4 linked regions of the Rhinolophus ferrumequinum genome follow. The main gene of each other region encodes a partner of the protein of the gene in region 2 in a complex. Links are inferred from orthologs where the notes say so. Each region holds a gene or a part of one and is shown on either strand. Other genes may lie near its edges. The genes, in order: HCAR1, GNAI1, RGS1 and C3AR1.

Region 1 (6,717 bases), on a different chromosome or scaffold from region 2:
CAATTACTCTGGACTCCGCACTTCCCAAAGGCCAGGGGACTTTTTTTCAAGCACTCAGCTCCCACTGGAAAAATCAGGGCAGGTAAACATATCCCTCAGCATGGTCTCTGAAATGCCAAGATTTGCAGAAAAATGTGGAGCCCAAAAACAGAGCAGATTGTTTTGCTGTCATTCTTGGGCTATTGAGAAGTCAAATGAACAGAGTCCCCCCCCCCCCCCCCACACACACACCAGATGAAAATCATGGGCATCAAGACATTCCAACCTACAGAGCCTCACTCAGCCTGACATAAAAGTACTGACTTAGTCCGGTTTCTGTTTTCCAAGACAAGTAATGATTTAAGGTCGGAGGATAGGAAATACTGATAAGTCATTAAATTCACTAACTCCCCCCCGGAGAGAGGACACGACCGGTTTAAACACTTGTACCTATTTACCCAGGCGGTTAAAATTGCACAGAGGCCGAGCTCTTCCTAGTCCCACCCCTCCCACCTCCCCCCGCCCGTCACACACATGCCCCTTGTCCCCTATCCTTGTAATAAAAATCATATAAACTCACTTCTCGACTGGGACCTTCCAAAAAGGCATCGTAGCCTAAACTTTGTTTCCAACAGAGTGAGAATAGAGTTGAGAAAGGGCAGCATTTTCAAAGCCCCTCAACCCCTCAGCACAAATTATTTCTAAGTCGCCAGTCTGTCCTCGACTTTGTCTGTCTGTCTGTTTCAGTGCCGGTTCAACACATGTGGAGACCCCACGGCACATCAGATTGGCTTTGCAAGCTATTTGCCACACTGGTGCAACTCTTGCGACAGAGGTTTGAAATCGGCGTCTCCTCTGGCCTCTGTGTCTTGGAGCGTCCTGTTCGCTTGGGTCTCAAACTGCGGATTTGGAGCTTGGTGTAGAATTTGGGGAACGAGGGACTTGAAAAATAATACACCAGGGGGTCCAGCATACTGTTCATGTAGGTGAAGCTGAGGGTGACATGGAGAGCTACGTGGACAGAGGGGTTGCAGGCACTCGAGGGCACCGTCCAGAGGAAATACAGCCTGGCTGACACGCTGGGCAGGTAGCACGTGACAAACACGGCCATCACCACCATAATGAACCGCATAGCCTTCTTCATCCGAGTCTGCCTCGCCAGCTGCTGCCTCTGCTTCAGGCTCCAAATAATCTTGAAGGAGCAGAATAAGATGATGCCGAGGGGCAGGAAGAACTCCAACTGGAACATGATGTCATGCCAGCCGTTGGCCGACTCCATGATGAAGCTCTCACAGGATATGGTCTTCTCTTGCACACACAGGTGGTTCTCCATCAAAAGATACAGGGTCCCCAGGATGACCATGGTCCAAAGGGCGCAGACGATGCCAGCCGCAGTCCGGTTGGAGATGGTGTTCAGCACGTGGTGGGGATGCACCACTTTGAAATACCTGTCCACGGCCACCACCGTGAGGAAGACTATGCTCCCCGCCCTGTTCATGGCCAGCATGAACAGCACTACCCGGCAGGGGATGTCCTCGAATGTCCATCGTCTATCTCTGCGGTAGTAGTCTGTCCGAAAGGGCAGGCAGATCATGAGAAGGAAGTCGGCCACGGCCAAGTTGAAAAGGTAAATAGTGCTGGGTTTCCAGGTCTTCATGTGGAAGCAGAAACCACATAAAGCGATGCCGTTGCCCAGGGCACCAAGCACAAATGCCAGGATCAGCAGCGGTGGCATCACCCGCGAAATGGGGTCCCCCTCAATGAGGCAACACGACCCGTTGTCCATGGTGGACAGAGGACAAATGCTCCGTGTGCCAGGCAAGCCCTGGAGTCCCCACAAAGACACAGGTGCTTATCTGAAGGCTGCCACTCACCCAGCTGCTATTTTTCTAACTTCTTCACCCTGGGATGCAGGTACCCACCGCACATGTGGGTGGATGCAGCCACAGCGGAGAACAGAAACTTGAGCCAGGAAATGAGAGCCTCAGGGAAGTCCTTTCTCCAGAGCTTGGGTCACAAGCTGCCTGTCTCCCCAACAGTCCGAGCATGTAGCATGGTAAGACTTTGAAATGCATGTAACTTCGTGCAAGTGGTCATTTCTGAGAAGCAACCGGGAGGTCCAATGAGATTCATGCTGGAGAGGAGTTGTTGGGTCCGGCCCCAGAACGATTTTTATTTCCAGCCTCACTCTTTTCCCGCAGACTCTCTCTGTGCTGGAGAGCCGCAAAGCTGCCCAGAAGGCACGAAAAGAGTTTGTTTGTCCTCCCTCCCGGAGGAGAAATACAAACATTTCCTGCAGCCAATCTGGGCCTCTGCACTGCTTTCCTCCCTAACCTTTGCCTGACTGCCCGTCCTCTCCCTCATCCCATGGGGCACTCCCAGGCAGTGCCAGAGACCGAGGCTCAGAGCCATTTCCTGTGCCCACACCCAAAAACAACCCTCAAAGATCAGCAGGGTCTGTGGACGAAAAAAGTTCTAAAAACCGCACTTGTTGGGTGTTAGAAAAGTTCTTTGAAGTGTTTCCGCCTCTCCTCCCCTCCGTTCACACCTCCTACCCTTTGCCTCCTTCCTTGGATCCAAGTGACCAGTTGCACAACCAACAAGACTGTGCATCCCAAGCCATTTCTCATATGTCCGTCTCCATGAAACAGCCTCTGTGGGAGCCAGTTCCTCCCTCTGCTGTTTGCAAAAGAGGATTTGGCTCTAAGTTTCCCACTGGCTGTTCAAAAGAGCCAAGCACCGTGATACATTGGTTTTTAATTTTAATTATGTGCTGAGCCCTTTGGTGGGGACGCATGAAGTTTGGGACCGTTGGTCCAAGAGTCTATCTCTAAAATAATCATGGGTAAAATTAGACTGCACCAAAGATCAGAGTCTGCTAAATTTTCCTGTCCTTTGACTGTAGAAGTGACTTACGTGCCCTGTGTGGCTTTCCAGCTCCCAGCTTAGGAGAGGGGTGCGAAGAGGGAGTGCTTTGGAAGCATGCATGCCTTCTTCCGTTGCTGATTAAAACTAAATTCTTCCCTCTGAATCCTAGACTCCCAATTAGCCTGACAACACTCCCTACTCGCTGCCCTTGCCCTAGCACCGACCACTGTTACCTCCTAGCTGTTGAAACTAGTCCATTCCCTGTAATTCCTCTCCCACACTACAATGTGATTTTTTTCTGAAGTACAGATATGATCATATCCCTTTTTTTCCCCTCACTTAACAGCCATCATTAGCTCCCTCCGATCTGCCAAGGTGATAGCTATAGAGCCTGTGAGCCGTATCTGTTTCGAAAACCGGTTCGATTTGGCCCACATGTTTAAAAAAACTAGGACTGTCCTAGAAAAAACCTGTATTTCCAGCCTCTCCTGGGAAACTGGAAGATCTGGCCACACTTGGCCAAAAATCCCACATAGTAACAATCGGCCAGAGCTGAGAGTAGCTGCCCCCTTGAGATGGGGCAGCTCCGTTTTGCCACAGCCCCCACCACTCCCTATTACCTGGTCAGCTTCACTCATTCAAATGCCTGATCTCTGGAATTTTGAGTTTGTCACCTCTGCCTTAGGTTAAAGATCGCATTCCTTGGCTTAGTATACAAGGCCCTTCACAGATGGTTCCCAAAGTACCTTTCCTGCCACTTTCCTCCTCACTTGTTAGTCTCATAACTTCTAATAAATAAGTGTGTCCATCCAACGTCCACGTTTAGCTCCCCCACTAATCCAAAAGGTCCTTGGAGACAAACTCCATTTTCTTGGCAGGATGGAATAAAGATCTGGATAACTAAGTCCTGCTTTTCATGAGAGCTCATGGCAGCCACTTTCACTGGATGGGAGGGGGACCTTCGTGATTCTCTAAGGAGGTGTTCACTGTTGTAGGCTGTAGCACCCCAAGATGAGGCTGGCTGGGGAACTCTGAATACCTTAAGAAGGTCAGGCTGGACTTTTCAGCAAATGGAAAATATTCTTCATCTGTGTTAGCAGATACCTCCAGATTCTTGTAAACCCAAGGGCTTCCTTTTCTTGCGTGACTAACACCGGCCTTTCTTTTCCTCATCCTTTCTGTCTTGTCAAATCTCCTTCCTCTCTCTCTCTCTCTCTCTCTCTCTCTCTCTCTCTCTCTCTCTGACTGTAGAATTAGCTGGAAGGCAGAGGATTTAGGAAGAGAAGATATGTTTCTCTGAAAGTCTACTGTTGATAATGTGTGGGGAGGGGGTATGTGGGAAATCTTTTTTGCTGTGAACCTAAAACTGCTCTAAAAATATAGCCTTAAAAGAATTTATACCAGGTTTTATTACTGATCTTATTTTTAGTCCTAGCTATTAATTACAGTGCCTGATGCAAAGTAGAGGCTTTGTTGATTTAAAATGGTTTATTCACACCTGAAACTAATATATTGTTCTATACCAAGTCACCTAAAAAAAAAAGTAAATTAAAGTGTAAAAATAACATAAATAAAAATAAAATTAAAATGTGTATTAAGTGAATCCTCAAGGTGTTTTTGCTAGATGCTTTCAGGGTTCCCCAAATGAGGAAACTATTACCTGCCTTCTGGAGCTCAGTTTTTAGGGGAGGAAATAAGACAAATACGTAAATAACAATAAAGCAAAGCAAACAGAATAAGCAGCTTAAGGCAATATTTTCCAAAATGTGGTTGGCACACCACAGAGGATAGGCAAAATTATTTTAGGTGACACAGAGTAATATACATACACATGTGTTTTGACTTTACAGCTATGACTTTATTTTAATGTGTGTTTAAAAAACACACATTGGAGTTTTGTGAGAAAGAGTTGTTAACATTTCTAGGGGGCAGAAATAGAAGGAACAGACATTCCAGACAAAATGCAGATCATGGAAGAAGTAAGGCTGGAGGAGGTATATGAGGAATATTGGAGGACTTTGAAATTTGGAGTCTATTCACAGAACTGTAAGGAATAAAACAGGCCACCACCGTTGAGTGGGGGCAGTTTTGCAGGAGACCTTGAATTCAGTGGCAGTGGGGAGCCATTTTTTAAGTAAATAGTATTGTAAAGGATTGTGTGAATAGTTGAAAGAGAGAATGGCAGTAACAGGAACAGGTTTTTGTTCCCGCCCCTCCCCTAATCCTGCAAGCCCTGAGGACACAGTACTGTCCCTTGTTGTCACTTGGGAATTCTGCAGGCTTGGAACCTGTGTTTTCTCTTTCTAGTGTGTTCCAACGGGAGCCTTGGTGGGGATATTATCCAGATAACTGAAGCCCCACTCCCTTAAGCATCAACACTTAACAAAAAAAGTTTCTCAAACCTCTTTCTCCGATTCCACACCAGAACCAAAGGAACTTAGTGCCAGCCACCAAACAGCTGAAGCCATAAGCTTGGTTCCCTCTTCTTCCTCACTCACCATCATCTCCACTCTGCTGGTCAGACGCCCTAAGCCTCGCCACGCCCACTGTAACCACTTTGGCTGGTCCAAGGTTCTGGAGGAATGCAGCTGCCTCCTGATGGGCCCTCCTGCTGCCTGTCTTGCTCCTCCTCCAATCCGTTCTCCGAAACTCAAATCTGCTGTCATTACTCATCTGGTCGAATGCTCCAGTGACTCTGGGTTTGTCCTTAGCGGGGGAATTCAAGATGGTTAATAAGGCTCCACAGAACTGGCCTCAACGGCTCCAACATGAGCCATGGCTGTATTTAGTATCCAAAGACTGTCCTACAGGGACCGCTGGGGACACACTTCCTTCCCTCATAGTCCTGAATAACTCCTCTTTTGTCAGCATCAGCCTAGATCAGTGTCTTCCAATAGAACCTTCTACAAGGATGGAAATGTTCTGTAGTACACATGTAGCTTTTGAGCACTTGAAATGGGGCTAGTGGGAACTGAATTTTCAGTATTAGTTCATTTCAATTAATTTAAAATTTAAAACCACTTGTGGTTACCAAATAAGAATCCCAGGACACTACGTCCTCTAACCCCCAAGCCTTCTGGGAATCTCCCTATCCGGTCTGGGTTAAGCCCTCCTCTCTGCACCATCTCTGCCACTCACATACCACGAAGTATTATAAGGGTTTACTTGTGTGTCCTCCCCCAGCTCTTCATCTCTGCGAAGACTAACACTGGGTCTGATTTAGCTTTGCATGCCCGTCACCTAGCCCAACACCTGCCATCATGCTCAGTATGTCTTGAGTAAGTGAGTGAACCAGTGAACAAATGATTCCAGACCTTTGCAATTTACTTCTTCTTCTGGCTGTGAGGACACACCCCTGAACAGGAAGGGCTGGTTGAAAGAACTTGTGGACACACCAGCCAGGTGACGTGGCATGCTCCTGGGCCCTGCCGTGCCAACTCCTCCGATATAACGTTTCTTCTCTTTATACGTGACAGGGGCAGGAAGTGGACATTTCTGCGGGGGCTGCCTGGCAGGTGTCAGGAGGAGGAACTGTCTGCGGTAGTATTTTGAAAAGACACATTTGTGGGTGCCTCCTTTATCCCCACGTTACTGCCACACTCACAACACTTCTGTCGCCAAGTGTGTGGGATATTTTTCCCACACTAAGCCATTCTGTGTGACACCAACTGAGTGTCCTGCAATTCCCATTCAGTTCTGGCACCAACCAGAGTGAGTGCAGACCCCACAGGTTGAGGGTTCAGTCCCACGAGACTGCTCCCCACTTCAGATGCCAGTTGCAAGATGTGGGTCCCCAGGTTACCCACAATTTCTGCCTGACTTGGCTACCATTCGAGGTTCCCATGACCTCCCTCCTCAGATTCCATCGTA
Region 2 (7,394 bases):
TCTGAACTCAGATGTCTAAAAACATAATACATGTCTTAAGAAAAAATGCAATATGATGAACTACTTAATCCACTGTCTTAAATGCACTTTGGAGGCATTGTACCTTAAATACATTTAAAAAAATCATCTGATGAGAAAAACAATGAAGAGGAAGAAGACCTAATGTAAATGGAATTGACATTGGTTGTGGGTTACCTAGAGACCATTTTATATTTCTAGTTGATTCAGTCGCTCTGTTTTATAGGGAATGATTTTATTGAGCTGCTTAAACATCCAAAAAAAAAAAAAAAAAAAAAAACAACCAAAGATCAACACTTCACTGCTAAAGTCAAAAAATAAATGTTTTCAAACATTCCAAGGATTAAGATTTATGAAATAAGTCAGCCAGCATTCTGTTTATAGGAACTAGGGTGTTGGAACTGGGCAAAAGGGTGGAGTAAGGCAGATAAGGGGGGGAGGAAGAGCAGTGCTGGGCCAACAGGACAAAACTTCCGTAGAAGAGAGACGTGGGGAAAAACAAAAAGACTGAAGGTAGAAGAGACAGCTGAGGGAATCCTCTTACCTACAGATTTTAAAAACCATTCTGAAATATTTCTAATGTCACTGGGATGGAGAATCAAAAATTCCGTGATTTCTTCTGAAAATCCCTGCTCTGCTACACCTCTCATAAATCTCGCTATAGTTAGCTGTAGAGATGCAACTTTTGATTCTACATTACACATTCAACTTTATTTAATTGTTAATCTAGAACAGTGGTTCTAGGCCTGAGGTTAATTTTTGCTGCCAGGAGGCTTTTGGGGGGATATCTGGAGACATTTTCGAGAGTTACAGGTTACCGGGGCTGCTACTGGCATCTAACCGGGTAGAGGCCAAATATGCTGCTAAACAACCTACAATGCACAAGACAACGTGCGCATCAAAGCATTATCCTGCCCAACATGCCAATAGTGCTAAGGCTGAGAAACAGTGATCTCTTCTGAATATGAGGAAAAACCCACTCCTTGGACCTGTATCCTAGTCATCTCTCTCTGACAGACATCGAATTAAAGCTCAGACCACCACCAGAGGACTTATTTTTCAATTGCTTTAAACATGGTAGATGGCTGGTTCAAACTGCAGTACACTGAAATAGTATTATCAGGAATGCAGAAATGCAAGAACTTTTTAATCCTCCTTGTTTCATTTTTGTCAAGCACAGCACATTCAATTCATAAAAGGAGCACCTACATGTTTCCATACCGAGGTGTTTCTCTTCTGCGCTCAACGTACTAAAACATACACTGACCTTGGCAAAATAAAGTATTTCTCACGAATGTATAAACTTAGTAAACGGCATTAAGAACGATTTATGTTGGGAGCGAGGATGAAGAAAGCCACCCAGGTCTTTAAAACGCGGTTACTTCAGTTTGCTTGCAAAATGACTCAGATCATTATTACTTTTAGTCATGCCAAGTTTGCTGCTTCTAAGCCTCCAAGTAATAGAGAGAAAAATAAAAGCACCATTTTTTCCTGCCGTCATTAAACCAATGAAACAGAAGCTTACTGAAAACAGATTTGTGCAGCATTTCTTTTTCGTTATAATTGTTATAAAAATAAAAGCAACAGCTCGGAGTGCAAATGAAGATTCTGAGAAACCTTTCATCTGCCTGAACACCTACAGCGTGTGCGTGTGGGGATGCGGGCGGGGGCAAGCAAACAAAAGGAAACCTAACTCAGACATCTGCAAATCTTTCGCTGTCAATATTTTCCTCGTGTACCCCTCCGTCAACACCCTGGCTTTCTCTTTCTATGTTATCTCCCTTGAAACAACCGGAAAAGACCTCCACACGGCGTGTCACCAAGAGCACAATACTAAGAACAAATAAAAAGCCTTGGCGTCGTACCCGGAAAATCTCATTCATCAGAGAGCATGGCAGCGGACAGAGAACCCCGGGGTCCGGCGCATCCCTTTCATACCTGCACATCGGTTTTGACCGCTCGAGTTCTCTTACTGGAGCAAACGTTACCAACTTTGATGGTTTCCCGGTCCCCACAGTGACAAAAACCAAGCATCCAGCGTCGCCCACCTCTTCACGCAAATGTCATCGGGTAAACGTTATCAGTGTTCCATTACCACTGAGTCGCCACAGGAAGTTAACAGGAAAGACAAATTTCAATCCCACGGAGGCCCCACGAAAGGTGCACAGATTTCACAAAATGTGGCACTCTTGCCGTGGGAAAACGCCAACCGCGACACCACACCACGTGCGAAGGGTTTCGGGGCGGGAGGTGCTGTTATTTTCCCGTCACTGATGCCCCTTCGTCTTTATAAAGCTAAGCTAACTTCCACGAAAAGGGGCTCCTCAAGCTCCGCTCCTCGGCTCCCCGCGGGGACGAGTTCTCCCCGGCCAGCAGCAGGGAGGGAGGGAGGGAGGCGGCCGCCCCCGCTCCGCACCTCCCCAGACAAGCTCCCGCTGGGGAACCCTCCTGGGCGCTCGGAGACGCGCCCTCGGCCGCTGTGACACGGCCCCTCCGGGTTTCCGAGCGCCGAGGGGCCCGCAGCGTCCCCCGCCGCGCGCCGCGCCCAGCCCACCCGCCCGACCCCCGGGGCCGCGGGGCGCCCCGCCGCCCTCACCGAGCAGCAGCAGCTTGACCTCGCGCGCCGCCTTCTCGCCATCCTCGCGGAGGTTCCGGTCAATCATCTCACTCCGCTCCACCGCCGCCTTGTCCTCGGCGCTCAGCGTGCAGCCCATGGTGCCAGGAGCGAGAGCCGGCCGCCGCTCCCTTCAAGTCCCGCGCGCCGTCTCGGAACACAGGTGATTCCTTCTCTCCCGCCGCCGGCCACGACACCCCCACCCACTTCCCAAACCGAGCGAGGAAAGCGAAGGAGCAAACAGCGCCGCGCGGCTCTTCCCCACGGCCGGGTTCCGCTGCTGGCGTCCCTCAGCGCCGCCGAAGTCCCGGTTTTGAGGCTCCGGGCACAGCGGCTGCCACCCTCCCTCTCCCCCGCAGTCGCGCCGCAGCCTGGAGAAGCCGGGCAGAGCGCCGCGGCCCCGCCCCGCCCCGCCGCGGCCCCGCCTCCGCCCGCCCCTCCCGCCAGCGCGGGACCACCCCCAGAGCGCGCTCCCGCGCGCGCACGTGCCCTCGGACAGCGCCCCCTCCGACGGGCGCGCGCGCTCCCGCGGGGCCGCTGAGTCCCGCGCGGCGTCGCTCGCTGGTCGCCTCCGCGCGCGCCCCGTGGCAGAGCCCGCGGAACCTCCGACTGGCCACGGGCTCCCCTCCCTCGCTCCCTCCGCGGGAGTGGGATAATTTCTTCCCGTTTGCTCACGCCCAGGGATCTGTGCGGAAATGCCTGCCTCTTCGGGTTTATGGGTGGGAGAGCTGCCAAAGTTTGGTAGCCGAAAAGAAGCTGGTCTCGGGCGTTTGAGCATGCCCAGCTCCGCAGCCACGCAAAGGTTCTGGAAATGTAAACCTCTGTCGGCTGGCCTTCAGGACTGTGGGAAATAGAGGGAGCTGGAAAGGGAATGGAGCCGTGGCGGAAACAGAAAGCAGAGATGGCAACACGGGGAATCAGGAAAGTCTCGAGAGAAGGATAGGAGGTCACTGCCTTCAGTTTGCCTTTCCTTCGTTCTGTTATTCCCCCCTTCCTTTCATCATTCCCTCCTTCCAGCCTCACATTGCACAGGCAGAGAACGTTTTGAAGGGTTTCTTCATAACCCGAGAAAATGGGAGGCAAAGTATCAAAGAGTGTATTTTAAAATGACAAGGGGAATAAAACACCTACACAAACAAATCTGCCCCACACCATAACCGCCCACTTCTAGGGTGTCCTGTAAATTTCCAAGCCAAGTTGTGAACCAATACTTATGAATATGTTAGTAAATCATAAGCCACTGGGGATGTCGTTTCTTTTCGTAGGCCTTAGCTTCCTCGCCCGTAAAATGAGATGGCCTTGATTCACGCTATTTCTCCACCCTTCTAGCTCTAACTGGTTTGGGGAGAAGCTTCTGAGGTTGCAGATGCATTTCACCCAACAGCAAATGAATAAGCTGTAGGTTTAAGGTCTGGTTCCTCTCAGTGGCACAACACCTTTCCATTACCGTCATGGCAGAGAATGTTGGTGGATCATACGATGGGGCTGGGAGTAAAGAAAAACATTTTCTTTGATGTATTAAAAATTAGGAAGTTGCTCTTTGGTTCCCATCTGGAACTCTCGTTTTCTAAAAACGATTTATAAAAACTGTTTCCACGAAGGTAAGGCTGAGCTGATGCTACAGCAAGTATAGCTTTAGAGTGAGTCACACATAAGCCAGAGATTGCTGGCTTGCAGAGATTGCTAGTTTCCTCCTCATTGGACATGTCCTTTCCTGTTCTACAAAAGTCAAAACTGCTGGGCTCTAGAGATGCAACTGCAAGAACTGCCTCAACTTTTCCTATGACCTTCTATAATGTAACAACAAAAGGAGCAAGCCTAAAATTGTACTTAATCACCTTCTACCCTCTGTGTATTGCTTGGCCATCTAAATGTGGGTGTTCATCAGAAACTCTGGAATTAAACTTAATTGAGTGAATTTACAACATAGTCTTTGTGTATCAGCCATATTGGATTATCTGTTATTGTGAGTCTTTCCTATAAGCTTCAAGGCGTGGAGAGTGTGGGATCAACAATTGTGGGAAAAGAGGAAGTAATCATGACTGAGTACTTATTGGTAAATGACTACAAAACTTGTACTTTGGAGAAAAGAAGGTGTAACATAATTATACACATTACCCCTCTCCTTTGAGAAACTTGTCAAGTAGGTGAGGAGTTAAAATATAATACATGGGTGAATAAGAACTGAAAAGTAGCTTTATATGAGAAGATGCAGTGTATGGAGTGAACAGTATGGGGAGAAATTCCAAGAGAAGAAAGTTTTAAAAAAAACTTTTGAAGGAAGCCATGACTGGGGATTGGTGGGGAGTTTCCAAGGGGTATGTGTAGGTCAGCTCACAATGCCATAACAAAAGACCATAGACTGTGTCGCTAAAACAATAGGAATTTATTTCTCACCGTTCTGGAGGCTGGGAAGACCAAGATCAAAGTACTAGCCCATTCAGTTTTCCGGTGGGATGCTCCTTCTGGCTTGCAGATGGCTACCTTCTTGCTGTGCCTTCACACGTAGAAAGAAAGAGCTCTAGTCTGTCTTCCTCTTATTATAAGGACACTAATCTCATTATGGGGAGAGGGGTTCACCTTCATAACCTCACCCAAACCTAATTACCACCCAAAGGCCCCACTTCCCAAAGGTTAGGGCTTTGACACATGAACTTGGCAAGGGGACACAAATATTTAGTCCATAACGGTACGTTTCGTTCGAGAGGAAAAAAACAGCGAAAAGGGTTAATATGCAGTATTAAGGTACATGTTGGAGAAAGCAATCGTTTTATAATTGAAATGAAGTTTAGCTGTGAAGAATGATAGCAAGCCTAGGACAAAGTTGGAAGGTAGCTTTAAATATTAAGGTGAAGAGTTGGACTTTATAAAATGGGAAGAAAACGTTCCTTTCATTCTCTTGTGTTGGGTAATAGGTGTTTAGAAAAGAAATCTCTTACCCAACAAAACAAATGAGTTACCAGCAAATGGCTTATGTTAGTAACCCAGATATGAGGTGTAAGAGTCATTCAAATTAATAATTTACATAATTATGATGTTTGCAAAATGTGATTTAACAACCTTGTCAAGGAGGTGGAGCAGGTATTTTTAACTCATCTGTTTTACAGAGAATGAAACTGAAATACAGAGGGTAAAGCAACCTACTTCAGATTACTGTTTGATTCTCTTCTGCACATCATGTTTTAAACAACTATATTGAAATATCATTCATATGCCGTATAATTTATTCATTTAAAGTGTACAATTCAATGGCTTTGGTATATTTACAGAGCTGTGCAACCATCATGACGATCAATTCTAGAACGTTCATCACCCCAAAAAGAAGCCCCCTACGCCATAGTCATTACCCCCCAATCTCTCCAGGACATCCACCACCGCCAAGTCCTAGGCAACCACTAATCTACTTTGGGTCTGTTTAGATTTGCCCATTCTGGATATTTCATATAAAAGGAAACATAGTGTGTGATCTTTTGTGACTGGCTTCTTTCACTTGGCATAACGTTTTCAAGGTTCATCCATGTGTAGCTTGTATCAATACTTCAGTTCTTTTTATTGCTGAATAATACTGAGCGTCATATGCTAGAGAGTTAGGGACATATGTTAAATCACAAATTGGGACACATTCGGCTGAGAGCATCCAGTACTTAAAGTAACTCCAAACTGAGTCATGAGGAATAATTGAAGAAACTGGGGGTATTTAATATAGGAATTAGAAGCTACAAAGTGACATGACAGATATTTCCAAATGACTGAAGAGACATCATAAATCAGAGGGATTAGACATTTTCTGTCTGGATTCAAGGTGGTAGATTTAGAAGTGTTGGAAGATAGCTACAGCAAACAAATTTTTCCTTGATGTGAGGAAAAACCATGTATAATCCACCCCACCTTCCCCACCCTCCACCCCACCCCAAAGAGAATAGGGAACTTCAGAAACATATTCGTTCTTGACTAAGATGTAAAAATCTAGACTGGATGATCACATATCGGGAATGATCTAGAGATAGGTGAACTTTTAGGATCCCTTCCAACCTTGAGATTCTATTATATATTATTCAGAAGTTTATGGACTTAGTCTCAGACCTGAGATAAAAATTCAGAAACTTCTTCTGGCCTTCAATTTTATCCCTCCAAGCAAAAGCCAGAAAGAATTGTGCACCTGAGATGTGTTGGTGTTGATGGATTAGTGCAGGGATAAGGAGGAACAATAGAAGAAGACAGAGCGAGGACAACATGTCAGACAGAAAGAGAGAGAGAGATTATCAGAAGGGAAGTGTGTATTTTCGGCTGGCTCAGTTGGGAGCAGATGTGGCATGTGGACACCTCTCTGTTGCCTACATTGAGGTTTTTGCTTTCTAAATCACGAGAGAGTTTGGTTTGGGGAGAGGACAGGAATAAGTAGGAGAATAGAGGGGCTAGCATGGCATCTTTACTCTTCTATAGTTATAGCTATAAGGGCCCCAAACCAAAACCATTTTGTGAGATTGTGGGTAAAGGTTGAAAAAAAAAAAGCCCACTGAATTATTACTGAGAGATATTATAAGGCAAGCAGCTCTCTTTGAGTGTGCAGGTTACAACATTGTGGGACTGAGATAAGGTAGAGGCCATGGTCTCAGCATGGAACTACCACCACCCCGGACACCAGAACACTGACTGATTGAAAGCATCTAGAGACAGAGCTTTGGCTTTGGCCACCCGTATTCTCCTGAAGGGCAATGCACCTTTGGCAATACTCAGTCTTCCTCAAGTAGCTTCACAGACA
Region 3 (7,755 bases), on a different chromosome or scaffold from region 2:
GGACTGCAAGTAAAGTTTGTGAAATCAAGACATTTTGTTTCAATGGGTCAAAATTTCTGTTCATGTCACTGACTCTTATGGTATAAATACATTTTTGCTTTTAAGATACAATCTCGTGGGCAGAGGACATGAATAGACATTTTTTTTAAGGAAGACAGAGGCCAACAGACATATAAAAAGATGCTCAACCTCACTAGTTATAAAGGAAATGCAAATCAAAACCCCAATGGGATATCACCTCACACCTGTTAGAATGACTATTATCAATAAGACCAGAAATAACAAGAGCTGGCAACTATATGGAGAAAGAAAGAACCCTTAAACGCTGCTGGTGGGACTGTAAATTGGTACAGCCATGAAGGAATACACTATGGAGGTTCCTCAAACAATTAAAAACAGAATTGCCATAGGATCCAGCAATCCCTCTTCTGGGTATCTACCTGAAAAATTTGAAAACACTTATTCATAAAGAACAAGGTACTTTATGTACCTTGTTCACTGCAGCACTACTGTGGCCAAGACATGGAAACAACCGAAATGTCCTTTAGTGGATGATTGGATAAAGAAGATGCAGTACTATCACACAATAGATTGTTATTACTCGGCCATAAGAAAAGATGAAATACTGCCATTTGTGACAATATAGATGGACCTTGAGAGTATTCTGCTAAGTGAAATACATCAGACAGAAAAGAACAAGAACCATCTGATTTCATTCATATGTGGGACATAAAACACAAAGCAACAAATGAACTAACATACAAAGAAAACAATGAACTCACAGATACAGATAACAGAATGATGGTGACCACAGGGGAAGGGGAGACAAGCACAGGGTGAAGAGAGTAAAGGGGGACAAATACATGGTCCCAGAAAGAGACTCGACTTCGAGTGGCAAGCACACAATTGAGTGTTCAAATGTCATATTACAAAGTTGTACACCTGAAATTTATATAATGTTACCAGACAATGTTTCCCCCAATAAACTGAATAAAAAAAGACAAGAAAAGCAGGCCAATAAACTTTTTTTAAAAGATGTAATTTTGTACTGATTATTGTCCTTTTTCCTCACAGTTCCAATGTCCGCAATAAAATTTCAGCAACGTTATAAAGACTCAACATCATTTTAATCAATACCAAGGATGAGAAAGTCATTCAGCAAAGCATTCCCTAAAATTCAGGGAGTTGGGGTTATTGAAAGCAAAATGTAAAACCAACTCAACAAAGATTAAAATTGACCCCATCAAATTGATAGCCATTATCTGAAATGTTTTACTGAAGCCATCTCCTAGACTTTTTAAAATATAACACTGGGATTTTTAGGGCAAGGAAACGATTCTGCATGACATTATAAGGGTGGACACATGTCATTATACATTTGTCAAAACCCACAGGATATACAGAACTGACAATCGTAATATATGAGGTCTGACAATTAAGTTCATGAACTCATCCTAGAAAAAGTGCCACACACCTCATTGCTGAAGATCACTTTGGTCACCTTCAAAGTACTCCCCTTGGGAAGCTATGCACTGACGCCAATGCCCAGTCAACCCTTCAAAGCAATTTTGGAACTCTTTCTGGAATGGCCATCAGAGCTGTTGTTGTATTACCCTTGATGTCCTGAATGTCATCAAAATGTCATCCTTTCAATATTTCCTTTATCTTCGGGTAAAGAAGTCATTGGGGGCTGGATCAGGTGAGTAGGGAGGGTGTTCCAATACCCTCCCTACTAACTTTGTATGTTAGTTATCTGTTTACTGGCTAAAAAGTCCCTCACAGACACATGTGAGCTGGTGCATTGTCGTGAGGCAGGAGCCAAGAATTGTTGGCGAAAAGTTCAGGTCATCTAACTTTTTCACACAGACTTTTCAGCACTTCCAAATAGTAAACTTGGTTAACTGTTTGTCCAGTTGGTGCAAATTCATAATGAATAATCCCTCTGATATCAAAGGAATGTTAGCAATATCATTGCAACAAGTTCACGAACTTAATTGTCAGGCCTTGCACACTACGGATTGTGGGTAATGATAACATGACATTGGAGGTTCTTCCTTGGTTTTAACAAACAAACCACACTGACTGATGTGAGGTGTTGTTTGGGGGGCAGCCTGTGGGGTGCAGGGACGATGCGGGAATTCTCTGTACTTTCCACTCGATTTTGCTGTAAATCCAAAACTGCTCTAAAAATAAAGCATATTTTTTAATATATATAAAAAGATAACATTAAGACCACATGAAGTATTACTTTTCTTAAGACTCCAACCTTGTTTCTCATGCACAATTTCACCAAGAAATATACAAACAAGAGGACCTTTCTGAGAGCCACTCTTTCTTCTACTAGCTTTTACCAAATGCTCTACAACTTCAACCAAAGGTATTGACTCAGTAAAGTTATTATTTGATCATCTGTCTTTTGTTAAAGAGGAATCAGACAGGGACACTGCGTGCAATAGATAGGGAACGTGCAATGCCTTGCCATGGACCCGTGAACCCTTGCAAATAGAGCTTCCTGGACTCTGGGCTTCCTTGGCATATAGGGCTTTGCATGTGCTAGCGAGCAGCCTTCGAGAGGAAGACGCTATTGCTGTGCCACTGAGGTGGCTTCAACAGCCAGTTGTGACAGAGGAGTTTCAGATGGACCCCCCCTATTAGGAGTTTAATTCTCTATTTGGGCTTAGAAGTGTGCGACTGCAATTGCTTGCAAATGTTTGAGCTTGAAGGTCTGTAATGAGGTAGCAAAAGGTGGGAGGTTTAGAGGAATTACAAGGTGACTTATGGCTGTCTCAGAGGTTCCTAATGTGGTGTCAAGAGAACATGATTTCTGCAAACTATTTTCCCTACCGAAGGAGGGTTCATTTCCCAAAAAGCATAGGAAACCACTGCATATTCTACCTTCCTTTCAGACACTGACAAATGTGCGTTCACACGTTACAGGCTCGCAGATCTGCGCTGATCAATTTAAGAACCGTATTCGACTTGGACCCACCATTTCCCAAACTTTTGTGGCCGCAAAATCATTGCTGCTGCTGCTCTTATAGTCCTTATAATGCTTCCTAACGACCGAAGGAACTAGTGTTGCAGAAGCATACTTTGGAAATTGTGAGTAGATATGGAGGATAATAATAACAGGAGGCCATTCAAAATAAACATTAAATCCTTTTGCTCTAACTCACAATTTTGTCGGGGAATGAGAAGTTACTAGATACACAAACATGAGACATGCTGAAGATTTTAACAGAAAGGTGAAGCATGGCCTGAACCACAACACAGACCAAAAAAAAAAAAGGCCTTTATGTCATTGTTCTTTGAGCCCCATCATTTCTTTTTGGGTCACAAAGTGGCCAGCTTATTTCACTAGTTCTCTTTCTTAACGCATCATGATGTTATCTTCTGAACACCAAGTGATGCTTGCTACACAGAATATATGTTCATGGCTTTGTAGGAAGTGGGTTTCAAAATATGATAAGCATGATTCCTTCAATATTCCTTATCCTGCTGATAGAGACAAGACAGGAAAAGTCATACTCTCTTTCCTTTTGGCAGCTTTGCCTATTACCATCAGGAGCCTAAGTAAAATTTGTTTTTTTTTCAGGGATAAAAACCAAAAGAGGTTTAAGTTAAACTGGATACTACAAATAAACCACACTCTATATAAACTCTATAAGAGATGATATTGTACTAATCCCTCTACCCTGATCAATGATTAGTCATCTAACTCCTTGGGATTTCTTTTAAATCCTTACTCTTAATTAAAGGTACACTTGAATCTCCAGAGATATTGCCAAAATTCAGAAGTTTTCACCTAAGGAATACACATTATTGGCCTTTCCAAATATACTCTTATTTTACCATGAGCAGTGTTTTCTCTGATACTATGCAATTCTTTACTATCAGTACGTGTATATACTATGCCATATTTCTGTGTTAAGTATACTTTTGTTTACAGTTTTGTTTTCATTTTGTTTTATTCTTATCCTAAGCAGTGATATACAAAAAAAAAAAAAATCAAACTCTGATAGGCTAGTTATATTCCTAATAAATGTTAAAACCACTAAAATCACCCCTTTAAATCATCTTGGATATCACCAGTAGAATGTCTAGCACACACCTGGGAAAACACATGGAAATTTCTTGCCTTCAAAATAACAGATGAAAGTTAAGATAACCTCTCATAACTCTCCTTCCTATAAGATATTTGCACAGATAATTGAGGCAAAAAGGATTTGTTTACACTGCTTCCTGAAAGGAAAAAACAAAACACAAAAAAGAACTCTTTTTAAAACACTGTGATCGGATGAACTTTATAGTCAAGGATGAGCCAAGCATTGAGAGACTATGTCTCGAGTACTGAGTTTCTATGGGACCCAATAAATATGCCAAATGAGACATTTGAGTGAAACATGCTATTGTTAGGAAGACAAAAGCATCACCTAGAACCAAAGACAGAAGCTCCTAATGCTTTAGACGTATGGTTTTGTGTGTGTGTGTGTCTCAGTGGGTTTAATTTTCTGGCTTTCTTTCTAATCAAGTGACCTGTTCTTATTTGGTTAAGTTTCAACCACAAAGCATCCCTGCATGCTTTTTTTTTTTTCAAGACACACGTCACAGCCAGTGAGAAAGGGGGAACTTCCAGTGCCTGTGGTAAAATCACTTGATAAACAGACTCGCCGAGCAGCATGTGTCTGCTTGCCCTCACGATATATAAGCAGCAGACACGCTGACACGCAGACATTCGCCCTGAGAGGATGATGAGAACGGCAGCCATCTCCACGCCAAGGTTAGACAAAATGCCAGGCATGTTCTTCTCTGCTACTGCAAAGGAAGTGAAGGGAACCGATCACTCCCTTCTAGAGGACAAAACGCCAAAGAGGAGGCCTAAGACTTTGTAAGTCCCGTCAGCATCTCACGTCGTGAATTTTGACTTAGATTATCTTTAATGGCAGAATGGAAGACAACAGAAGCCAGCCGGTTAGCTAGATCAGAGTCATGACCTGGTGTGTGAGCTCTAAGGATATATCCAGTTGTTTTAAAAAATGAGTTGTGATTAGACATTACAGTAGGTGGGGATTTGACCAGACTTAAACTGGTTCACTCTTCGTATAGTAACAGGGTGTAGCAACTATTTTTATTATTGCCTTATTTCTTGGAGAAGTGTATTTCAGCTTCTCTTCTTACAAATTCATTTCTTTTTACAAATGAAGTGTTTTCAACTGATGAGCTCTGAATACTCACTTTTGTGTCTTTCATAGTGGAATGGACGTGAAAGCGTACCTGAGGTCTATGATCCCACATCTGGAATCTGGAATGAAGGCTGCCAAGTCCAAGGACATGTATGTACAGATACACTGTCACTATAAAAGGGGCCTGTGCATTCGCTGTGTATGTTAGCCAGAGATTAATATGGCACATTGATGTGACAAGCCTAAGGAGATTAGCATACTAGTGCCACTGTAAATTAAATAAGAGCATGTGTGTATGCATGTATTTGCTATTCCTTATGCTGCTAGAGCACCTATTTTATTAGAGCACTTGGATTTTTCAGATTTAATTGGCGGATGTTTTCATCTAGCAATTCTATATGAAATTTTATTTCAGTAGCAATTCTAAGGCAAATTTCGTTCTCTTATAGATAAACTTTAATATAACTTATTAGAACTATAGTCTAAGTGTTGGTGAAGTTCTCAAAATGCAGGAGCCTTTGCTGATTTCACTTGTGCTTCTGAAAAAAATATATTTTTACTAATTGATGTAAATCTTGCCCCCTGCAGACTGTCTGCTGATGAAGTAATGCAGTGGTCTCAATCTCTGGAAAAACTTCTCACCAACCAGAGTGAGTACAGATTAACTATTGAATGTGTCTGATTTAGCTCAATACGCTAACGGATTGAAAGGCTTCATTAAGATACAGTATTTTGGGGAGGGGAGTGTATGAAAAGCCATATATATTCTAGTTTTTCTGTAGTCACTGGTAGTTTCAGCATATTATGCCTTGTTGTCATGGCATGTTCATTTCGCACTCAATTCTGCCACTGACAAAATTGCCAAGACAGTTAGATGCTTCCATGGACCTGATAGGTGCAAAATGAAAAATTAGGCTGGGGTTCTGATGTTTAACATTTTTTAGAGTGCACCAAACCTCTCAACATGTGAACTGCTGTTCTGAAAGCTACCTAAAGAATATTTTTGCACCGCTGGATGTACGGAATAGTATTCATTCAGTCAGTTGATTATTTTGTCATTCACATATTCCATGAGCTCCCCTGTTCAGTCCACTTTCGTGCAGCAAGCATTTTAGAAGCACCAAGGATTCCAAACCAAAGACGGTGCCTGGCTGCCCTAAAGGCAGTTAAGATGCACAGTATGTAATTGCACCATATATAACATAGCACACGTTATAACACACACACGATAAAAGCAGTTCTCAGACACAGAGTCTAGTGGGGCATCTCTGATGAGAGCACATAAAGAAAGACATCTGCCTGTCCTACCCTCATCATGACCACTGATCCACCGAGATAAGGACCCTGTTAAAGGGTGTGGATAAGCTGTGTGTCTCTCCAGAGGGTGAGTTTATGCTCCTCTCCCCACAAACCCCTAAGGAGCCTTGCTTGGGGATCAGACAGTTCAACCTGGTTCATCCATCTTATTATCTGACTTCATTTACAATTCAGCCCAACAAACAGCATAGAAACGGCCCATCTGAAAGTTGCCATAACACTAGCAAATATAACAAGTGTGTCACACATAGGTCACATAGAGGCCTCGTATTTTCCAACTCATGAATTGGATGGGAAATTGTATTGGTAACATGCTGTTAAGGCCCTTTGTCAATGTTTGCTTCCCTAAAATACTTTATATGGGAGAAGAGATTTGGAGAGCAGGAGAGCAGGATTTTCATTGAATTAGCAGATAGAAGCAAAAGCAGTTTCATAGCCACCACTAGGCTGCTATGTGACTGTGACCAAGTCTGTGTGGCCTCAGATAAACTGTAAATGAAGGAATCTCTAAGGCCCTCCCGTCTCACGAACTGTGACACACCTATTTTAGCAGCAACCATCTCTCACCTACATAGAGAATGCAATAGCATTTTTCGTTCATATTTCTTCTTCAAGTTATTCCTTTATTGGCTCAATTAACGTAAATATCTCACCTCTCACTCTTTCTTTTTAGCTGGTCAAGTTGTTTTTGGACGTTTCCTCAAGTCTGAGTTCAGTGAGGAAAACATGGAGTTCTGGCTGGCTTGCGAAGACTACAAACAAACACAGTCGGACCTCTTGCGTTACAAAGCAGAGAAAATCTACAAAGCTTTTGTGCATTCAGACGCTGCTAAGCAAGTGAGTATCAAGTTCATTATCATCGGTTTATAAGCGAAGGAAATTAAATGCAGACATGACATTCCACATACAGAACAAGATGAAATCCTATATGAGTATCATGATTTCACTGCTATCTGTTTAGGTATATTCATGTAGTTTGGCGCAATGATAACCTAATGTTCTACATTTGTGACAAGATTGGATGAAAGACTGATTTTGCAAAGCTAGCTGACATGATGGGGGTGGGTAAGGAACTATAGCATCACTGGCAAGAATTGAATCCCAGGGAGTTCTCGATGAGCGAGCTCACCTTGGGTGAAGACAAAATATAGAACAGTGTAATCCATACGCTGCAGCAGCAAAAGTATTTCCAGTTACTAGAAGTGCCCACCTTCCGGTTAAATATCCACAAAACATAGCTGCACAAAGTACCCTA
Region 4 (7,745 bases), on a different chromosome or scaffold from region 2:
TCCCAGCCCCTGGCAATCACCATTCTACTTTCTGTTTCTATGCCATTGACTATGATAAAAGTAGAATCATACAGCATTCATCTTTTTGTGACTGGCTTATAACACTCAGCATAATGTCCTCAAGGTTCATTCATGTTGCAGCATGTGTCAGAATTTCTGTCCTTATTAAGGCTGCATAATATTCCATTATGTGGATAGACCTCATTTGTTATCTCTTCGTCTGTGGATGGACATTTGAGTTGCTTCTACCTTTTAGCTTTTGTGAATAATGCTGCTATGAATGTGGGTTTAAATGCATATTGTTTTATAAACTGCTTTCTTTTTTCAGTTACCAGTCTCTACATTATACAGCAAGATTGTACCTTAAGGAATACTCGATCTTTATTCAATTTTTTCCAACTGTCCCAAAACTATCTTTTATATCTAATTTGCCCACAATTATATCCAATCTAGGATCACACTTACATCAGGATGTTATGTTTCTTAAGTCTCTTAAGTTAGTCTAGTTTCTCTTTTTCAAGGATATTGGCTTGTTTTGGGGTCTCTTGTTCTCACCACTCACTTCTTAACACTGCACAATTTGTCTTCTGCCCCCATTGCTCCACTAAAATTACCTCTAAATAATAAATTCAAGCATCCTTTTCTCTGTTGCCATCTTCCACAATATAATACATGTCATGTGATACACTGACTCCTTAACATTCTCTTCTCTTAGCCTGTGATGTTACCTTCCCCTAATTCTGAAGACTCCTACAAATGTACTCTATTTCATAGCTTTATGAACAACTCACTATTTCAAGTTAATGCCATTTTCTGTTCTATGGCTAATGAATGCTGTTTGCTTCTATCTGCAATTATGTCCTTCACCTTAACTTCCCCTTTCCTCCATTTCTAATCTCTCCCTGTTAAAATCCTAGCTCTTCTTCAAGATCAAGTTCAAATATTATATTTTCCTTGAAACTTCCTCTAATAATCCCAACCAGAAATTAGTTCTTCAGCTTCGAATTTTTTTCTTTTTCAACTAAATTTTTTCCCCCGTTTCCCCCTCTTCCGCCTCCCCCCACCCCCACTCCAGTTCAAGCCGATTATTTCTGTTTGGTTGTGTAGGACAGAGCTTCCTGGCCCTGGCCCATGCTCTCCCTGGCCCTTGTGCTCCCTCCCCCCCCCCCCCCCCCACAGCTGAGGCAGCCAGTCGCTGGTCGGTGGTTGGCTGCTCACAGCAGGCAGCTCACTGCAATTCTCGCTGGCTGCCAGCCGCTCACGCTGGCTGCTGGCTATTCACACTGGCCACCGGCCACTCATGGCAGCACACGATAGCCCACGGCAGCCCACGGCAGCACACGGCAGCCCACAGCTGCTCTAACTTCCGTTTTGTTTTCTACTTCCCAATTCTTACTGGCTGTAACAGCATTTTATGTTTCCTTTTATAAAGGCCCCAAAGTATTTTTGTGACTAGAAAATAGTTCTGCTGAGTTAACCAAATGTTGTTGTAGGGTCTTAATTAGCAGTAGTTAAAATAACTAAGTCAGCAAAATAATAAAAAGAAGTGATTGTCATCTTTCCTGTTGCCTCGCATACTCAAATATTCAAGTCCTGTCAGTGTCCCTTCCTTCCCTGTTTTGCACGGCAACACCCCTGATCCACTGTTCTATTCCAACACACATATACATGCATAGATCCATAAAATGTTCAGAAAAGGATAGTCATAGGCTCTTAGGGCCAAAAGGAAACGTAGCAATCACTTCTCCTTGTCTCTACTTTTCATTTTGCAGTTTTGACACTGATACTCAGAAAATTAGGTGACTTTTACTATACAACTAAGAGGGTTCTCAGATTTTAGGTCCCATGTGTGTCAGACCAATTCCTTTTTACCACAAAGAATCACGTAACTTAGAAGCCTTTGGTATTGCTAACAAGGGTATCAAGAGCTGCACAAATTGAAGTATTAAAGACTGACAGAAGCCACATTCCAATGTAAAGAAATTGGGTCATCCGGTATGAGTTATTTTAAATATCACATATTATCTGTTTTGAAATGAAAGTATATATAAATCAGAATCTTAAAGTCTTTCAGAACAAGATCACTTTTCACATTTATCCTAGGGTTTTGATTGAAAAATTCCTCTACATTTAAGATTAGTAGAGAATTTTCTTTTATTTTAGTTTTTAATACTGAATTGACTGGCAGTAACTAATAAGATAAATAAAATCCTGAAACTAAAATTCAACTATGGTAGGGAAAGAAAAGTGGATTCCAGAATCAAATACTAATGATAGGATGACAGAGTAAGTAGCAAGAAGGAATAAGTAAAAGAATATAAAAAAAAAGAGAGGTTGGTGCCTGGATGGCTCAGTTGGTTAGAGCGCAAGCTCTTAACAACAAGGTTGCTGGTTCAATTCCCACATGGGATGGTGGGCTGCGCCCTCCACAACTAGATTGAAGGACAACGACTTGACTTGGAGCTGATGGGTCCTGGAAAAACACACTGTTACCCAATATTCCTCAATAAAAAATTTTAAAAAAAGAAAGAAAAAGAGAGGGAAATACAATGAGAAAAAAATATATATACAAAGAAAAAATAGACAATTGGGGAAAACTGGAATCAAAGGTCAGATGGAGAAACAGTCAATTTAAGAGAGGAGGGGAAATGACATAAAAAAATCACTATTAGTTCTAGAACGAAAATATGAAGAGCAAAGATAATCAAATGTGGAATGTTTAGAAAAAGAAAGGTGCACACGGGGAGAAAACAAAAGAAGTATAAGTTGGAGAAGGAATAAGGAGAAATAGAAGATAATGACCCTCCAACCATTACCTATAAGGAGCAAAACAAGTGAGGCACAAGTGACCAGCTGGATCCAGGATTCCTTACCAAAAACTTGAGACAGTAGCTGAAGGCTTCAGCATAGAGCTGGGGGCCTCCCCGAGTCCTGTCTGATCTTCACACTTAACCACAGTCAAGTGTGGTTGGAAAACTTATTTAGGAAATTTGCTGAGCTCTTCCTCCTTCCTCTCTCTCTCTTCATCTGTGTTGATAAATCGAACCTCACACTTTTGACTACTATTTGACTTCACAAGAAGAGTTTCAAAGTGAGTCACTTTACAGATAAGTAAAGGAAAAAAACAGAAGTTGGGAGGGTGTAATTCTCGGACATTTTCTGCAGGACGGAGCATGGTTAGAAAGAGTACTTCTGTACATAAGCTACGCACTTTATTGATTTTTGCTTTTGTTTTTGTTTTAGAAATACACCACAATCACCTATGGTATGTGTGGGTGGGGATGGGGTGTAGTTGGGAGGAATGACCTGCACAGCCCCATGGAATAAATCTCAAATAATATCACTTACATGCTTAATACAAGGTTGGACAATTAAGTTCACGAATTCATCCTAGAAAAAGTGCTACATACCTCAATCCTGAATATCATTGTGGTCACCCTCGAAGTACTCGCCTTAGGAGGCTACAAATGTACTCTATTTCATAGCTTTATGAACAACTCACTATTTCAAGTTAATGCCATTTTCTGTTCTATGGCTAATGAATGCTGTTTGCTTCTATCTGCAATTATGTCCTTCACCTTAACTTCCCCTTTCCTGCATTTCTAATCTCTCCCTGTTAAAATCCTAGCTCTTCTTCAAGATCAAGTTCAAAAATTATATTTTCCTTGAAACTTTCTCTAATAATCCCAACCAGAAATTAGTTCTTCAGCTTCAAATTTTTTTTTCTTTTTGTGTGTGTAGTTTGAACCTCTTTTCATATTATGCAATGACACATTTTATCTTGTAGTTGATATGGTGGCAGTTTTATTTATCACACTGGCCTTAAATTTAATGATGATAAAAATGTTTTTTATCAAAATGTTTTGATAAAACAAAATGTTGAACATCATCAAAATGTTTTCCTTTCAATATTTCCTTTATCTTCTGGTAAAGAAAGAAGTCATTGGGGGCCAGATCAAGTGAACAGGGAGGGTGTTCCAGTACAGTTATTTGTTTACTGGTTAAAAACTCCCTTACAGTCAGTGCCGTTGAGCTGTGCATTGTCGTGACGCAAGAGTCATGAATTGCTGGTGAAAAGTTCAGGTCCTCTAACTTTTTCATGCAGCCTTTTCAGCACTTCCAAATAGCAAACTTGGTTAACTGTCCAGTTGGTACAAATTTATAATGAATAATCCCTCTGGTATCAAAAAAGGTTAGTAACATCATGGCAACAAGTTTGTGAACTTAATTGTGTGAACTTGTACTTTATTTTATTGCATTTTATTTATTTTTTTTGTGTGGGGGGAAAGGGAGCAGGATTTTACTGGGGAATAGTGTGTACTTCCAGGACTTTTTTCCAAGTCAAGTTGTCCTTCCAATCTTAGTTGCAGAGGGCGCAGCTCAGCTCCAGGTCCAGTTGTGGTTGTTAGTTGCAGGGGGCGCAGCCCATCATCCCTTGTGGGAGTCGAACTGGCAACCTTGTGGTTGAGAGCCTGCGCTCCAACCAACTGAGCCATCTGGCACTGGCCCATGTGGGAATCGAACCAGCAGCCTTTGGTGTTAGGAGCATGGAGCTCCAACTGCCTGAGCTACCGGGCGGCCCAGACCTCATATTTTAAAAGTAAAAGAACAAAATCTACAGCAATAGGATAAACATTAAAACTATTAAAATAAAACAGAGAGAGAGAGCTTGAAAGGGGAATCATTTAGCTTTTGGTTCCTACAACTCCAGACAATTCTACAATAGAGATGATCTCCTACCGTGTTTCTCCGAAAATAAGACCTAGTAGGACCATCAGCTCTAATGTGTCTTTTGGAGCAAAAATTAACATAAGACCTGGTCTTATTTTACTATAATATAAGACCGGGTCTTATATAATATAATACCGGGTCTTGTATCAATTTTTGCTCCAAAAGACGCATTAGAGCTGATGGTCTAGCTACATCTTATTTTCGGGGAAACACGGTATAATAGAAATGGTGGGTGTGGCCATGGCAGCTGTTGGCAACTGTGGGCTCTAGCAGAATTACTGGTTCCAGTAACAGCCACGGGCCTGTGACTTCCTAGATTCCTGCTAAGCAGCAGCAAGAGCGCCCAGTCTCCAAGCCAAGTACACACTTATCCATTCTAGGTAACAGCCTTTTCCACTTTTGTCTTCCAATTTTAGGAAAGCAGCTTCTTGCAGTTATGTCATCTTCTCCCCATTTATTTCTCCAGTTCTTCCAATACTTTTTAAAACAAATCCTTGTATTAAATACCCTATATGAAGTACATACAATGGTTTCTGTTTCCTGGCTGGGCAATGACTAATTCAGAAAATATTCACTGTACCTATTCCATAGGACTGTTAAGAGTAAATGAATTAATACATGCAACATGCAAAGCATTTAAAACAGTGCTGGCATATAAGTACTCAGTAAATGTTAGCAATTATGTCAAAAAAACTAATGTGGCTTCCAGTTGTCTATAAGATTAAAACCAGTCTCCCATCTTGAACATGTATCAAATAACCTACAAAATATTCCCTTGCCAGTGTTAAGTCACATGCTTTTTGTCCAATCAAATCCTAACCATGGCTCTCAAGGATGTGGATTAGATATACCTTCTGCTCCGTTCCGTATAACTGCCTAATTAATTATGCACAGTGACAATAAAACCAAGTAGGAACACAAATTGAAGAACACAAAAGTTGCCCACAAATTAAAGAAATTCAGTTGAAAAGTATATATATATATTAAAAAAGTGGTTAATCCCATCATAATAACAAATATCTAATGCAGTCATGCTTGGCTCTTGAAGAAATCAACCTAATTTAGCAAGAAAAATAGGTCAAATCTGAGTGGTTTAAAGAAAATTTAACAAACTTTGCTTCTTCTATTTATTTGTTGGTTATTAATTTTCTATTATAGTATGCATCTAGGACTGCTAAAGAAGGGAGAGTGAAGGGGAAGTACACTGAGTTTCATTAACACATTTTGTGACTTTAGTTCCATGAAAATGAAAGTGGACAAGGCACAAGGCATCAATTTGTGTTTATCTAATCTAATGAGAAAACATAGGAACTTTAGGCGGCGGGGCATGGAATTCAGGACTATCAAGGGGTACATGGCTCTCATAAATTTTGTAGATCTAGATAAACTTTTGAGTAAATTTTGATTGATTTTCTTTTCTTTTTTTTAGGTTTGCTATCCTATTTGTGCATTATTTGGAAAATGTCTTCTTTAGTTTCTTTCTCCTTTGCCTTTCTTTACCGATTTCATTTCCACTAGAATGCATGCAAAAGAAGGTGATGTTACAAATATACTGGGTTAGAAAACCACTATTTCCCTCTCTGTAGGGAAAAACCCAGTTCTTCATATCCTGTGTGTCGCCTTTACTTTCACACAGCTGACACCACTTCTGACACTTTGGTCACCAAATGGGTGGGACCTGGCACTATCTCTAACTGCACATAGTAGCATATCCCACAGGTTACAGGCTCAGTCCTACAAGACTGTCCCCCACTTCAGATGCCAATCTCAACTAGTACGTCCCTAGGTGACCCCAACTTCTGCTGACTTGGCTACAAATCAGAGGTTTCCATGACTTTCTCCTCTTTGGATTTGATTATTTGCTAGAACAGCTCACATAACTCAGGGAAACACTTACATTTACCAGATTATTAAAGGAGATGATAAAGGATACAGGTGAACAGCCAGATGAAGAGGTATATAAGGTGAGGTCTGGAAGGGTCCTGAGTGCAGGAGCTTCTGTACCTTTGGAGTTGGGGTTGCATCACCCTCTGAGTGTGAATGTGTCCCCCTTCCCCGGTCCCCGGAAGCTCTCCAAACTTTTGAGGTTTTATGGAGACTTTATTAGGTAGTTGTGGTTGATCATTAACTCCATTTTTAGCCTCTTTTCCTTCTTAAGAGTATTAGGGGATGGAGGCTGAAAATTCCACGCATCTAATCATGGATTGGTCTTTCTGGTGACTAGTCCTCATCCAGGAGCTATCCAGGAGCCCAATCAGAATTGCCTCATTAGAATAAAAGACACTGGGCCTGCCGGGTGGCTCAGGTGGTTGGAGGACCGTGCTCCCAAAGCCAAGGTCCCTGGTTGGATTCCCACATGGGCCAGTGAGCTGCGCCCTCTAGAGCTAAGATTGTGAACAACAGCTCTCCCTGGAGCTGGGCTGCTGTGACCAGCCAGAGGTTGGCAAGAGCTGCCGTTGGCCGCTGAGTGCTGCCACAGGCTGCCGTGGGCTACTGTGTGCCGCCATGAGCAGCTGGTGGCCAGCATGAGTGGCTGGCAGCCAGTGGCCAACCAACGACTGGCGACTGACTGCCTCAGCTGGGGGAGCGCAAGTCTCATAATACCAGCACGGGCCAGGGCACGGTGTCCTACACAACTAGACTGAGAAACAACGGCTTGAACCAGAGTGGGGTGGGAAGGCGGAAGAAGGGGGGGGGCGAGAATAAAATACACTTTTGGGTCAAAAAAGGGACTATGCACTAAACCTGATAAGCTCACGGGAGGCCAGCATGACAGGCCCTACAAACTCAGAGACTGAAAGTAAGCACACAGGATGGTCTGAACATTAAAATTCCTAACTAAAAGCAGGTCATGGAGGGTAGTCATATTCTAGGCCTGTAGCTTCCTTGACAAAGGTCAATCTTTACCTTAAGTGAGCCTGTCTACTGCCTTTTGCATCTAAGATAACAGACCTTTGAAATATCAGTAATCTCCTTTTCCAGACCCGTCAGGGCACACCCACTGTAACAGAGCA

What was found.
Region 1: the proteins of GNAI1 (region 2) and HCAR1 are in contact, whole or in part, in a cryo-EM structure (PDB 9IZD), measured with the Homo sapiens proteins. The link is inferred for Rhinolophus ferrumequinum from reciprocal best matches to the Homo sapiens genes GNAI1 and HCAR1. Residues at the interface, in NP_002060.4 of Homo sapiens: Glu28, Arg32, Leu194, Asp315, Thr316, Glu318, Tyr320, Phe336, Thr340, Asp341, Ile343, Ile344, Lys345, Asn347, Leu348, Asp350, Cys351, Gly352, Leu353, Phe354; in NP_115943.1 of Homo sapiens: Lys48, Ser50, Thr51, Leu54, Arg113, Lys116, Val117, Pro120, His121, Asn125, Thr126, Ser128, Leu203, Arg206, Gln208, Leu209, Gln212, Arg214, Met215, Lys217, Ala218, Phe221, Ile222, Ser281, Ser282, Pro283.
Region 3: the proteins of GNAI1 (region 2) and RGS1 are in contact, whole or in part, in a crystal structure (PDB 2GTP), measured with the Homo sapiens proteins. The link is inferred for Rhinolophus ferrumequinum from reciprocal best matches to the Homo sapiens genes GNAI1 and RGS1. Residues at the interface, in NP_002060.4 of Homo sapiens: Val179, Lys180, Thr181, Thr182, Gly183, Ile184, Val185, Gln204, Ser206, Glu207, Lys209, Lys210, His213, Ala235, Glu236, Asp237, Glu238; in NP_002913.3 of Homo sapiens: Ser105, Glu106, Phe107, Ser108, Glu110, Asn111, Ser143, Asp144, Ala145, Ala146, Gln148, Ile149, Asn150, Ile151, Asp152, Phe153, Arg156, Leu181, Lys184, Asp185, Ser186, Arg189.
Region 4: the proteins of GNAI1 (region 2) and C3AR1 are in contact, whole or in part, in a cryo-EM structure (PDB 9IPV), measured with the Homo sapiens proteins. The link is inferred for Rhinolophus ferrumequinum from reciprocal best matches to the Homo sapiens genes GNAI1 and C3AR1. Residues at the interface, in NP_002060.4 of Homo sapiens: Glu28, Ala31, Arg32, Glu33, Val34, Lys192, Asp193, Leu194, His195, Lys314, Asp315, Glu318, Tyr320, Lys330, Phe334, Phe336, Asp337, Ala338, Thr340, Asp341, Ile343, Ile344, Lys345, Asn347, Leu348, Asp350, Cys351, Gly352, Leu353, Phe354; in NP_001313404.1 of Homo sapiens: Asn57, Arg120, Val123, Val124, Pro127, Ile128, Gln131, Asn132, Asn135, Val136, Tyr356, Ile359, Arg362, Met363, Arg367, Phe368, Lys370, Gln372, Lys374, Thr375, Val378, Ala379, Leu438, Gly439.

Annotation. Positions count from the first base shown.
Region 1 is NC_046308.1:4,884,421-4,891,137, reverse strand, and holds HCAR1 (hydroxycarboxylic acid receptor 1), read right to left. Parts: upstream 2,450-6,717; 5' UTR 1,766-2,449; coding exon 734-1,765; 3' UTR 501-733; downstream 1-500. UniProt on the Homo sapiens protein: Acts as a receptor for L-lactate and mediates its anti-lipolytic effect through a G(i)-protein-mediated pathway.
Region 2 is NC_046303.1:44,057,743-44,065,136, forward strand, and holds the start of GNAI1 (guanine nucleotide-binding protein G(i) subunit alpha-1), read right to left. Parts: upstream 3,019-7,394; 5' UTR 2,733-3,018; coding exon 2,615-2,732; intron 1-2,614. UniProt on the Homo sapiens protein: Guanine nucleotide-binding proteins (G proteins) function as transducers downstream of G protein-coupled receptors (GPCRs) in numerous signaling cascades.
Region 3 is NC_046310.1:5,294,658-5,302,412, reverse strand, and holds the start of RGS1 (regulator of G-protein signaling 1), read left to right. Parts: upstream 1-4,746; 5' UTR 4,747-4,748; coding exon 4,749-4,888; intron 4,889-5,252; coding exon 5,253-5,333; intron 5,334-5,771; coding exon 5,772-5,833; intron 5,834-7,173; coding exon 7,174-7,337; intron 7,338-7,755. UniProt on the Homo sapiens protein: Regulates G protein-coupled receptor signaling cascades, including signaling downstream of the N-formylpeptide chemoattractant receptors and leukotriene receptors. Inhibits B cell chemotaxis toward CXCL12.
Region 4 is NC_046293.1:24,655,176-24,662,920, reverse strand, and holds the start of C3AR1 (C3a anaphylatoxin chemotactic receptor), read right to left. Parts: upstream 3,020-7,745; 5' UTR 2,817-3,019; intron 1-2,816.